Linked DNA regions of Arabidopsis thaliana. The protein of the gene in region 1 interacts with the protein of each later gene in a pairwise test. Each region holds a gene or a part of one and is shown on either strand. Other genes may lie near its edges. The genes, in order: AT3G54190, FBS1 and EMB3003.

Evidence for each region.
Region 2: the proteins of AT3G54190 (region 1) and FBS1 interact in a two-hybrid assay, tested with the Arabidopsis thaliana proteins (one large-scale study listed by BioGRID).
Region 3: the proteins of AT3G54190 (region 1) and EMB3003 interact in a two-hybrid assay, tested with the Arabidopsis thaliana proteins (one large-scale study listed by BioGRID).

The regions. Positions count from the first base shown.
Region 1 is NC_003074.8:20,062,561-20,066,315, reverse strand, and holds the start of AT3G54190 (Transducin/WD40 repeat-like superfamily protein), read left to right. Parts: upstream 1-2,154; 5' UTR 2,155-2,435; coding exon 2,436-2,627; intron 2,628-2,759; coding exon 2,760-2,907; intron 2,908-2,984; coding exon 2,985-3,135; intron 3,136-3,225; coding exon 3,226-3,351; intron 3,352-3,429; coding exon 3,430-3,510; intron 3,511-3,660; coding exon 3,661-3,755. Other genes in the region: AT3G54200 (Late embryogenesis abundant (LEA) hydroxyproline-rich glycoprotein family), read right to left, coding at 1-585.
Region 2 is NC_003070.9:22,626,238-22,629,992, reverse strand, and holds the start of FBS1 (F-box family protein), read right to left. Parts: upstream 1,730-3,755; 5' UTR 1,597-1,729; intron 1,585-1,596; exon of another isoform or gene 1,478-1,584; 5' UTR 1,468-1,477; coding exon 1,201-1,467; intron 634-1,200; coding exon 559-633; intron 468-558; coding exon 252-467; 3' UTR 1-251.
Region 3 is NC_003070.9:12,588,586-12,592,340, reverse strand, and holds the start of EMB3003 (2-oxoacid dehydrogenases acyltransferase family protein), read left to right. Parts: upstream 1-2,117; 5' UTR 2,118-2,256; coding exon 2,257-3,114; intron 3,115-3,345; coding exon 3,346-3,537; intron 3,538-3,628; coding exon 3,629-3,716; intron 3,717-3,755. Other genes in the region: AT1G34440 (uncharacterized protein), read left to right, coding at 1-153, 200-299, 499-541, 914-993. UniProt on the Arabidopsis thaliana protein: The pyruvate dehydrogenase complex catalyzes the overall conversion of pyruvate to acetyl-CoA and CO(2).

The DNA.
Region 1 (3,755 bases):
ACCAGTGACTTTAACAAAAGTATTAAGCGGAATGACGCCAGCCATGACGTCAGATAAAAGCTGCGTTTCAGAGAGTAACCGATCCGCCATTAGCGTCAACGTTATATTCAACGGCACCGTTTTCCGCGCCGCGATTCGGTTAGCCGGAAGAGGAGCTTCACCGATCACTTGGCCTCTGTAATTCAACAACGCCGACGACGAATCGTAGCTAAACCCGATGCGGTTAGGGTTTTTGAGAGAGAGATCGACGTTGAGCGTTAGGTTTAGGAGGACTTTGAGAAGGAGAGGATTGACGGAAGCTTGGAGACGATCAACGGTGACGGAATCGATTGTAGTAGTTGGGCGTTTTGGTTTGAAGAGAGTGAAAGCTAAGATGACGATAACTATGGCGATTAGGAGAATGAGAAGGATAGTGAAACAGATACAGATTTTGCAGTTGCGTTTCCGCCGCAGTTTTTTAGCGGTTCCGGTGTTAGCAGATTGCGTTTCCATGGAAGAAGCGTTTGGTTTGGGTGGTGGTAACATGGCTGTTGCTGGCTTCTCCTCTTCCTTTTTATCATCGGGTTTGATTGAAAAATCACTCATAGTTATTACTCTCTTTGTTACGCTTTGTGGTTCTCTCGCTGTTGAGTTTCTCAGGGGTTTTGGTTTATCCTATAAAGGAGGAGACCACTATTTGTACGCGGATTCGTTACCAGTTTTTAATTACATGACTCAAACACATTTCATTTTAATAATTTGTTATTTTACATTTTAATATTTCTTGATTTTCCACGAGTATATTTTTTAAAAAAATAGTTAATTGATGAAAATTACATTTTCATAAATTGGGAAGAATTTGATGAGATACTAGTTTTTTTTTTTTTTTTGGTGTATGTCTGTAAATGGAATCTCAATTTAATTTTGTAACACACTTCTAAATTCATAAAATAAGTATTTAGAAAAATAAAATAAAAACGGATAAAAGTATAAAACATACATAATGTTCGTCGAACGTCGTAAAGACAGCTCTTTATAAAAATGGTTGTTAGTTGAATTTTATTAAAATCGGTATTGATTGAGTTGAGATTTGACCATTTTTAATAATGTTTCGAAGACGTGCATTAATTAATTCAGCTGGACGTGGAAGAAGGGAGATGATAAAAATAATAAAGTGAGGTTAGCGGTAGAAATCAAATACTTCACATGGCTTTTGTAAAGAGACCATGCTTGATGCATCATCCGTCGCTTTTGCCTAATTTCGTGTGGTTATTACGTAACATATTCAATGACTAATTCACCGTCTTTTTCTGGGCCCATTTCTTCATTTACACGGGACGACTTCTGGATTTTGGCCCGTTTAATCTGTCTCTCTTATTAAATTCATCATGCATTTGAATGCCCATTTGTTTTATTGACTTTTTGCTGTTGAGTTTCTGACATTTTTTTAATCCCACGATAGAAGTTATTAGAATCACATCATTGAAAAGTAAGTTTCCAATAATTTACGATACTTTTACCTAAACATTTACTCTATTTTTTAGTTTTTTTAAAAAAAATTATTAGAAAATTTTGAAAGTCAACTATAGTATTTTTACCAAAACGCATTGAACAATAGCATATGAATTAGAACATATTCAAATTCTCAAATAGATTGTTTTAGTGATTTAGTCCAATGTATTAGAACAAAATTTAATGATGTTTCATTTCTAAACCTTTTATCTTACAAATTGGATAACCAATCAATGACTTTTACTTATAAAATAATATGGCTGGTAAACAAAATAACAAATAAACATAAATATCCAATTCCAAAATAATAAGTCGATGCCGGATTTTGACAACCAAAATAACGGTGTAAGATTGTTATAGTGTTTGTAAACATGATTGATGGTCGTATATGAAAGCAATACTTCGTATAATTAAAAAAACTTACATGTGTGACTATGTGATGACGTTTTTTCGTGTAGTTGACTCATGAATTTTTTAAAAATACTAATAGTAAAACAAAATAATTAAATATTTTCGAAGAATTCTATCAAGCAAACTAATCAATTGTCACAAGGTTTATTGGGCTGGGCCATCCATCACAGCCCATAAAAGTTAATTTCTTTCAACCCCTTAAACGCTGCGTTTTAAAAATATTCAATATTAATTTTATCTTTCTACGATCTACGATGCTTCGGATTGGTTCGGCTGGTTCGTGCTCGAAATTGAGATTTTGAAAGAAAAAAAGAGCTCTGAATCATTGAAATCAGCTTAATTCCAATCTGAATCTGCAAAAAAGTCTTACGTCACACTCCCATGTAGTAGCCGTCACTTCTCGTCTTCCTCCTAGAGATTACCCAACTCTCTCGCTTCTTCTTTTTCCTCTTAGGGTTTCTTCATCCTTTAGGGTTTCCACAAAAATTCAAAACCTACTTGGAAATATTTGGGCTTGAAGAAGGAAGAATTAGATGGAAGGAAGAAGGATTACGGCAAGCCCTAGACCTTGTAGTGGAAGAAGAATTGTGGCTAAGAAAAGGTCTCGACCCGATGGATTCGTCAACAGTGTTAAAAAGCTTCAACGAAGAGAAATCTCTTCTCGTAAAGATCGAGCTTTCTCTATTAGCACCGCCCAAGAGAGATTTCGTAACATGCGTCTCGTGGTATGTTCTGAATTTTCAATCTTTTGTAATTTGCCCTAATTCCCAAACCCTAGAGATTGCTTCTCTCTCTTAATTGGGATTTGATTTGAGTACTAATTTAAGCTGCTCTTGCTTGATGAATTTTGATTTCAGGAGCAATATGATACTCACGATCCTAAAGGGCACTGTTTAGTTGCATTACCGTTTTTGATGAAGAGAACTAAAGTTATTGAGATTGTTGCTGCAAGGGACATTGTTTTTGCGCTTGCACATTCTGGTGTTTGCGCAGCTTTTAGTAGAGGTAATTATCGTAACTTGACTACTTACTCTCAGCTTTGTGTCTATGTGACTGATAGTATGATTTACCTTAAACTGCAGAGTCGAACAAAAGAATATGCTTTTTAAATGTTAGTCCAGATGAAGTCATCAGGAGCTTGTTCTACAACAAGAACAATGATTCTCTCATCACAGTTTCTGTTTATGCTTCAGACAATTTCAGCTCTTTGAAATGCAGATCCACTAGAATTGAGTAAGTTTTCTACCATCTACCAAATCGGTATCATGTCGTCTGTTGCGTTATTCAAACTAATGTGTGTTTCTGGTTGTAATCAACTATTAGGTATATTCTGAGAGGTCAGCCGGATGCAGGGTTTGCTCTTTTTGAGTCTGAATCATTAAAGTGGCCTGGTTTTGTTGAGTTTGATGATGTCAATGGAAAGGTGCTGACTTATTCTGCGCAGGACAGGTTATTTTTCTAGTCTCACAGCCTAAATTTTTTTTTACGACAAGTTTCATCCTCTGAGCCTGATAGCTGTTTCTGCAGTGTATACAAGGTGTTTGATCTGAAAAACTACACCATGCTATATTCGATATCAGATAAAAATGTCCAGGAAATTAAAATCAGGTAACTTTTCTCCATCTTTCTTTGACCCTTTTGTTGTTTCTTGTTTGCAAATATTGAGCAAGCTGCTTTTCTAACTGTGCTGTCCACTAGATTGGATTGACAGACTTGTGAATTTTCTAACTGTTGTGCCCATTTGATTCCCTGCATCAGTCCAGGGATAATGTTATTGATCTTCAAGAGAGCTGCCAGTCATGTTCCTCTGAAGATTCTGTCGATAGAAGATGGCACTGTTCTCAAGTCCTTCA
Region 2 (3,755 bases), on another chromosome or scaffold:
CTTATTATTAATCCACTTTGTAAAAACCAAATAAACTATATTCACACTACACAACATACAAAAAGATCTATAACCCTCCCATAGAGTTTGTTTGTGACCTTCTAAAGAAGCTAGCCTTTCCAAAACCCTATCTCTCTTTTTGTATCTAACAACAATTTACAGAGACCTATCCAAACCAAAACCCAAAAAAAAACATAACTAAAAACCCCTCCTCTTCAATTAAGAATCTTGAAGAAACCAAGTTGTTTGATTCAGTGGAATAGAGCCACTGAGACTCCGGAATCGTCCTTGTTGCGGTTTATCCTCGAAAGACGGTACCTTTTCTGCAACGGAGCTCCCGGAGCTTCAATCTCTTCATCATCATCCTCTACATCAAACGGTTTATCCCAACCAAATCTGCCATGGTGGAAAACCGAGGTTTTCCGAGGTGTACTATACGCGAAATGTGACTGCTTTGCTATCATTGTCTGCAAAGAAAAACAAAGAACATTTAGATTCAGAATCAACTAATGGTGTATGTATCATCAAAACCTACTAATGATGCCAAATTTTACTTACAGCTTCTCTTATTGTCTTTGAAACATGAAACAATTGTTTCAAGTCTTCATGCTCGACCCCACAGATAATCCTCACCTGTAATAATGAATCACAAGATCTATCAACACGTGTCTATGAAATGTCAAACGATCTTACGCACAATGACAAAAGTTTTCCAGATATGGAAAAAGTTGAACATTTTCTCATTTCCATTACGATTTTGAATCTCAGAGAACAAAAAGGATTCAACTTTTAGCTCAATCTGATTGACACTCGCTGAATTAACAAAGACTCTCAGCTAATTAACAGAACCCAGAAATCACAAACAGATAAAAATAAGTTGTGATGAAATTCTTGAATCTCAAAGACCAAAAAGGTTCAACTTTCAGCTCAAATCTGATTAATACTCAGTAAATTATTATGAAATCTCAACTAATTAACAGAACCCAGAAATCAGAAATGATTAAGAATGAGTTTCTGATGAAATGAACCAGAAATTTAAACACTTTCTCATTTCCAAAACGAATTTTGAATCTCAGATTAAAAACAAAAGGATTCAACTTTCAGCTCAATATGATTGATACTTTGTAAATTAAGAAGAAATGACAACTAATTAACAAAACCAGAAAGAGATTAAAAGAAAGAGTTAGTGAAGAAACGAACCAGAATATCTAGGGGAAGATCTTCAAGCTCTCGACTCTGACCCTCTGCAACCGAAGTAGTTTTGTCATCGCAGAGCTTTTTTCCAACAGGTGAAGTGAAAATCGAATCCTCCATCTCATCACCAGATGAAATGAGAATCCTCTTTCTCCCAAATCCTCTCTTGTACTGTACAAACTCTAACCCTAACCCTAATCCTCCATTATCCACATCACGACGTTGCCTCAAATTCGGCTTCTGGGTAACGATTCTTTTCTTCCCCAATGCCATTTTTATCAATCTGCAACAGCAAAAGTACAAAAAATCAGATCTTTCCCCAAATTTCAGAGAATCCCCAAAACAGAGGAATTGGATAAAGAGAAAATGAAAAGTGAACCTAAGAGCAAGAAACAAACTTACAAATAAATAAGATTTTTCCGAAGATTTTCCGAGATTTGTTGATGTGAGTCTTGAAAGTATATGTTTGTGGGAAATGAACAAAAGCTGAGAGAAAAATGAGTAATTTTTCTTTTTTGGTGTTAATATTATGACAAAGAAAAATGAACTACTACTTCTTCTCTACTTATAGTAGATTAATTATCTTTCTTTTTCTTTTTAAGTCAATTTATTATTATTTAAATGAAAACGAGTAAAGTAGAAAATGCTGGAAATTTCCTAAGCAAAAAAAAATATCTAAATTTTTTAAATTTTGTTGTTCTCCCTCTCTTCCTTACTTTTTGCTGGTAAGCAAAAGACGGCTTACAAAAAAACTAGCCGTTGGGGAAAGACACGTGGTGAACTTTGAGCCGGAGGAGGAACCAACGTGGGTGGTTCGTGTGCTGACGTGGCGACAAGTTGTTCGTTTGACGGTTTAGTCGCCTCACACGGTTTTGTTTTGTTCTTAGGATTCGCAAAAAGTAAAAATCTTTCGAGTCACTGACACAATCTTTGATAATCTAACACTTATCAGTTATCACCGACCAAAAGAAATTAGATGATTATTGTTTAATTTATTTATTATTATTGATTACTCTTTATTTTAATCCATTGTTATTGAATTTTTTTGACATTTAATTATGGTATATGCAATTAGTTTCTTTTATGTCAATATTGTATCATCAAGATCTATAGATGTTATATGTATATATCATTGTTATATTTTTCTATTTTTATTTCCACATTCTTATTGGAGAAAATTACAATATTACTAGAAATAAAAAGATTTGCATGCCATTTGTTGAGATTTAGTCTTTATTGATTAACTCTTCATTTTAATCCATTATTTGTTTTTGAAAAAAAATAAGAAGATTTGCATGCCATTTGTTAAGTTTTTTTTTTTTTTTTTTTTAATAAATATGGACTTCTCATTTATAAAGGTTTTCCCCAAATATGGGATTGGATCACGGTAATACACAACGAGAAACACAGTTACAAAAATGCAAATCGGAGAATAATAACCTGGCACCGGAAAGGAGGATTATATCCTGGAGACACCGTGAAACAGAGAGTCCGACACACTAGCGACGGCAGATGCGCAGTCCACAGTTTTGCAGTCCGACACACTAATGACGACACATTTATTAAGATTTAGTTATCAATGGTTAACTTTCATTTTAATCCATTCTTATTGAGTCTTTTTGACATTTTTTTATGGTATATATGCAATTGATTTTGTTTTAGGTCAATATTATATCAAGATCCAAATTAAGCTTTTAACAAATAAAAAAATATAAGATATGCATGCATAATTGTTATATTTTTCTATTTTTGTTTCCACAATGTTATTGAAAAAATACAATATTATGGAAAAAAATATATGCATGCCATTTGTTCATATTTTTACTAACTTATTGGCTAATGTAAGGATATGTTTAAAGTATATTTTAAAATTGGTCAATTTGTTTTTTATTTCTCAATAAAACAGTAATTAATAATTAAGAGATACAAATATTACATTAATTAAATTGACAAAACTAATTAAATTAAATTATATATATATATAGTATTGAATTTTTGTACCTAAGTATGATATATCATATATATAATTTACTTAAGTTATTTACTGAAAAATCAAGGTCCAAAAATATGCATAGATTAATGATCATTATTATATATCTCTATTTTTATTCCCAAACTCTTATTGAAAAAAGTGTGCATGCCCATTAGTTGAGGATCTTACTAAATTATTAACTAATTTTAGGTACATCTAGTTAAGAATTTTTTTTCTTATTGTAAGTTTTTTTTATCAACCTATTATAAATTAGCAAAAAGAGCTGAATGATATTATTCACCGAACCTAATAATATTTGAAAAGACAATTGTATATCGAAAATATTAGTTATTTATAGATGAAATAATCAAAAATATGCAAAAATATATAAAAGCGAAAAAATACTTAAAAATAACCAAATATATATGTATGAAAATATCCAAAAATAACCAAAATATCTAAAACTATTCAAAACAAAATACCGAATCAATACCAAAATTTAAAACCAAAAAACCTGAACTGAACCAAAACCGAACTAAAATATTAAAATATTCTAATTGATCATAAAATCTACAACTGAAAAGAATCA
Region 3 (3,755 bases), on another chromosome or scaffold:
TTGGCGGGAGAGGAACCAACGTCTTCACTCCGCTACTTCACGTCCTACTACTTCTATCATTAAGGAAATCAAGATGATAGTTAGGACAAGGCTTGATCCTCTTTCTAGGGCTCAGAGATCCACCCCTCCTGCCTTGACCCTCCTCGCCACTTGGTTCTCCTTATCCCAATGACATTTTCAGTTGTTGTTTCTTTTGTAGGCTTGGTTTCATTGGGTTCACTTTGTGTTTGGACCTTCCTCTTGCTGCGGGGGCTGCGTCCTCTTGTTTCGGGCCTCGGCCTTGTTTGTTTCTGTTTCAGGTTTGCGTACCCCTTCTCGGCATTTATCATATATGTTATGTTTTTCTAGTAAAAATTTAAAAAAAAAAAAAAAAAAAATTTCAGATTAGCGATTAACAGATGATAAACGGTGTCATAGTGTATTGATTATCAAAACAAATTGCAAGTGATTCATACTACGAACAACCGTTTGATTTTATTTTGGTGTGTGTTTGTTTAGAGAAGAAGAAAAGACAAGGTTTCTTCTAGAATTATCTATTCAGGTAAATAAACATTTATCTTTTCAATAAAATACAAAAATCAATCAATATGTGAAATGATCTGAAGAAAGTTTTGTGGGTTTCGGCCCAAAACAAAATTGTCATGTTATTCATTAATGGACTCCTAAATTATTCGTTGAAGCAAACAATTTTTGGCATTTTATTAGATATTCGATAAATAATCATAAATAATAGACTTATTTGTCTAAAAAACCACAAAAACAAATAAAAATTGTATGACTTTTTTGTGTTGTCGTCGTCGTCGTTATCAACCCTCATCATCATCATCACCAACGTAACCACCGACGCCATCATCATCGCCATTAACAACTGGATCTGTCTCCGTTTCCATCAAATCTCTTTCTCTCTCTGCAGATCAATTGATTTTTTACAACGTGATTGAAGCGGGGCTAGCTCCGGTGACGATAGTTGATTGGTTTTGTCCCTTAAGATGAGCTCCTTCAATGGTAACGAACGGCGTCGGCGGCCGTGAATCATGAGAGAGATGGCTCAGTTTCTTTTTCTTTTCTCTGATCTTCCTCTTTATCATCAGATTCTATCTCAGAAACTTATCAATGTGCGTTTGATTTTTTTTGCTTGGGTTCCCTTTACAATAATCATTAGGGTTTAGTTTTTGAATGGAATTCTCTTCCAATAAACAAAATATCATTAATGGTGAATAGTGAGGACGCAAATGATTATTGAAAAGCTTTGATTTCGAATACTCGATTGCAGATCTGCCACAAATCTGAAACTCTGTTTTTACTATTCACCTTCTTCTTCATTTGCAAGATGATTTCATTTCGTTCGTTTAATTTTTTGCTTTGGTTTCATAAATACTATCATCTTTAGGGTTTAATTATTGTGAATCAATGAATGTTTTTAGTTAGAATAGATTTTAAGAATATGAGATTTGGAAAAAAAATTGGATTTAAAAGAAGAGGAGCGTGCAAGAAGATGATGAGAGAAGATGATGAGATTATTCAGGGGTAAAATGATCAAATCGCCCTATCAAAACTACTCTTTTTCAAAGATCATACACAAAAGCCTCAAAATCAAAATTTTTATCAAAAAACATCCTCTTTTGACAATAACCCCTAAATAATATTATAAGTATTATACACTAATATTCTGCAACTGTCCAGATTATTTATCATTTACCAAAGAAATATATTAAAAATTATATTTATCTTTAAATTCAATATTTATAATGGATCAAACATCAAACAAATTTGTATACCGAAATTTTTTTAAAACACAAAATATAAGTTTCTCCTTAATTTTCTTTTATGAAATTTTCTTCTAAAAATAGAATAACATATAAAATAATACATAAGAGAGAAATCATGCTTTATTTTACAGAGAAAAATAGAGATTTACATTGGAGATAATCTTATATGAAAACTGTAAAAAACTATAAAATCAGGGCGAAAAATGTGTATGGTAAAAAAACTTAACATGTGGTTAAAGGTTTTAAAAAGATTACAGAATAGTTCTCTATTGGGCCTTCGAAAAAAGCCCAATACCCAACAACAAAAACGCGCGTGTATCACACCTTCAATACACTAGTAAGAGTCACACAGTGATCGTCACCGGTAAATTAGTTGGCAAACTCCGCCTGCTCTTCGATAATTCCGAGGAGCTTCTTCACTCTTCTTATATCTCATTTCTCTCTATCTCTCTCTCTCTCTCGCATTGCGATTAACGAAATTCGAAAAATGTCTCGTCTTCTCCAAACACCCTTCTTACCTTCAGTTTCCCTCCCCACAAAAACACGATCTTCCGTTACGGGTTTCCGGGTAAAGCCCAGAATCATCCCAATTCAAGCAAAGATCCGAGAAATCTTCATGCCTGCACTAAGTTCCACGATGACCGAAGGCAAAATCGTCTCTTGGGTTAAATCAGAAGGCGATAAACTCAACAAAGGAGAGAGTGTTGTTGTTGTTGAATCTGATAAAGCTGATATGGATGTTGAGACTTTCTATGATGGTTATCTAGCTGCAATCATGGTTGAAGAAGGTGGTGTTGCTCCTGTTGGTTCTGCTATTGCTTTGTTAGCTGAAACTGAAGATGAGATTGCTGATGCTAAAGCTAAAGCTTCTGGTGGTGGTGGTGGTGGTGATTCTAAGGCTCCTCCGGCTTCTCCTCCCACGGCTGCAGTTGAAGCACCTGTGAGTGTTGAGAAGAAGGTTGCAGCTGCTCCGGTGTCCATTAAGGCGGTGGCGGCGTCTGCGGTGCATCCGGCGTCTGAAGGAGGGAAGAGGATTGTGGCGTCTCCTTATGCTAAGAAGTTAGCTAAGGAGTTGAAGGTTGAATTGGCTGGTTTAGTTGGAAGTGGACCGATGGGAAGGATTGTGGCTAAAGATGTTGAGGCGGTTGCTGCTGGAGGAGGAGTTCAAGCTGCTGTTGCTGTTAAGGAGGTAGTGGCAGCTCCTGGTGTGGAGTTGGGATCGGTGGTTCCTTTTACGACAATGCAGGGGGCTGTGAGTAGGAATATGGTGGAGAGTCTTGGTGTTCCTACTTTTAGAGTCGGTTACACGATTAGTACGGATGCTCTTGATGCTCTCTACAAGAAGGTGAGTGTGTTTTGAAATCCGTTTGGTTGGTATGATAGAGTAGACTGGAGATTCCATTGATTGTGATAATAGTTGCTTGATGAAGTTTTGAACTTTGGGATGAGATTATGAGAGATAGCTAGTTGAATTATAAATGATAGTATCTTATGATGTGCATCAGAAGCATACACTAGTTACAAACTGTAAGTGTAAATGTTGATTTGGTTCACATTTTGTGTTTGGTTTGTTTAGATTAAGTCGAAAGGTGTGACAATGACGGCACTTTTAGCAAAGGCAACTGCACTTGCACTGGCGAAACATCCAGTTGTAAACTCGTCTTGTAGAGATGGTAACAGTTTTGTGTATAATAGTAGCATCAACGTTGCTGTTGCTGTTGCTATTGATGGTGGTTTGATCACTCCGGTGCTTCAGAACGCTGATAAGGTTCTTTTCTTTTGTATGCTTTATAAGAGATTTTGAGTTTACTCTGTATTCAAAACCGGTATCAGTGGGTTGTTCTATCTTTTGTAAACAGGTTGACATTTATTCGTTATCTAGAAAATGGAAAGAATTGGTTGATAAGGCTCGAGCCAAGCAGCTGCAGCCTCAGGAGTACAACACTGGTAATCCTACTACTAGAATATTGAAGTGATTTGAGTTTG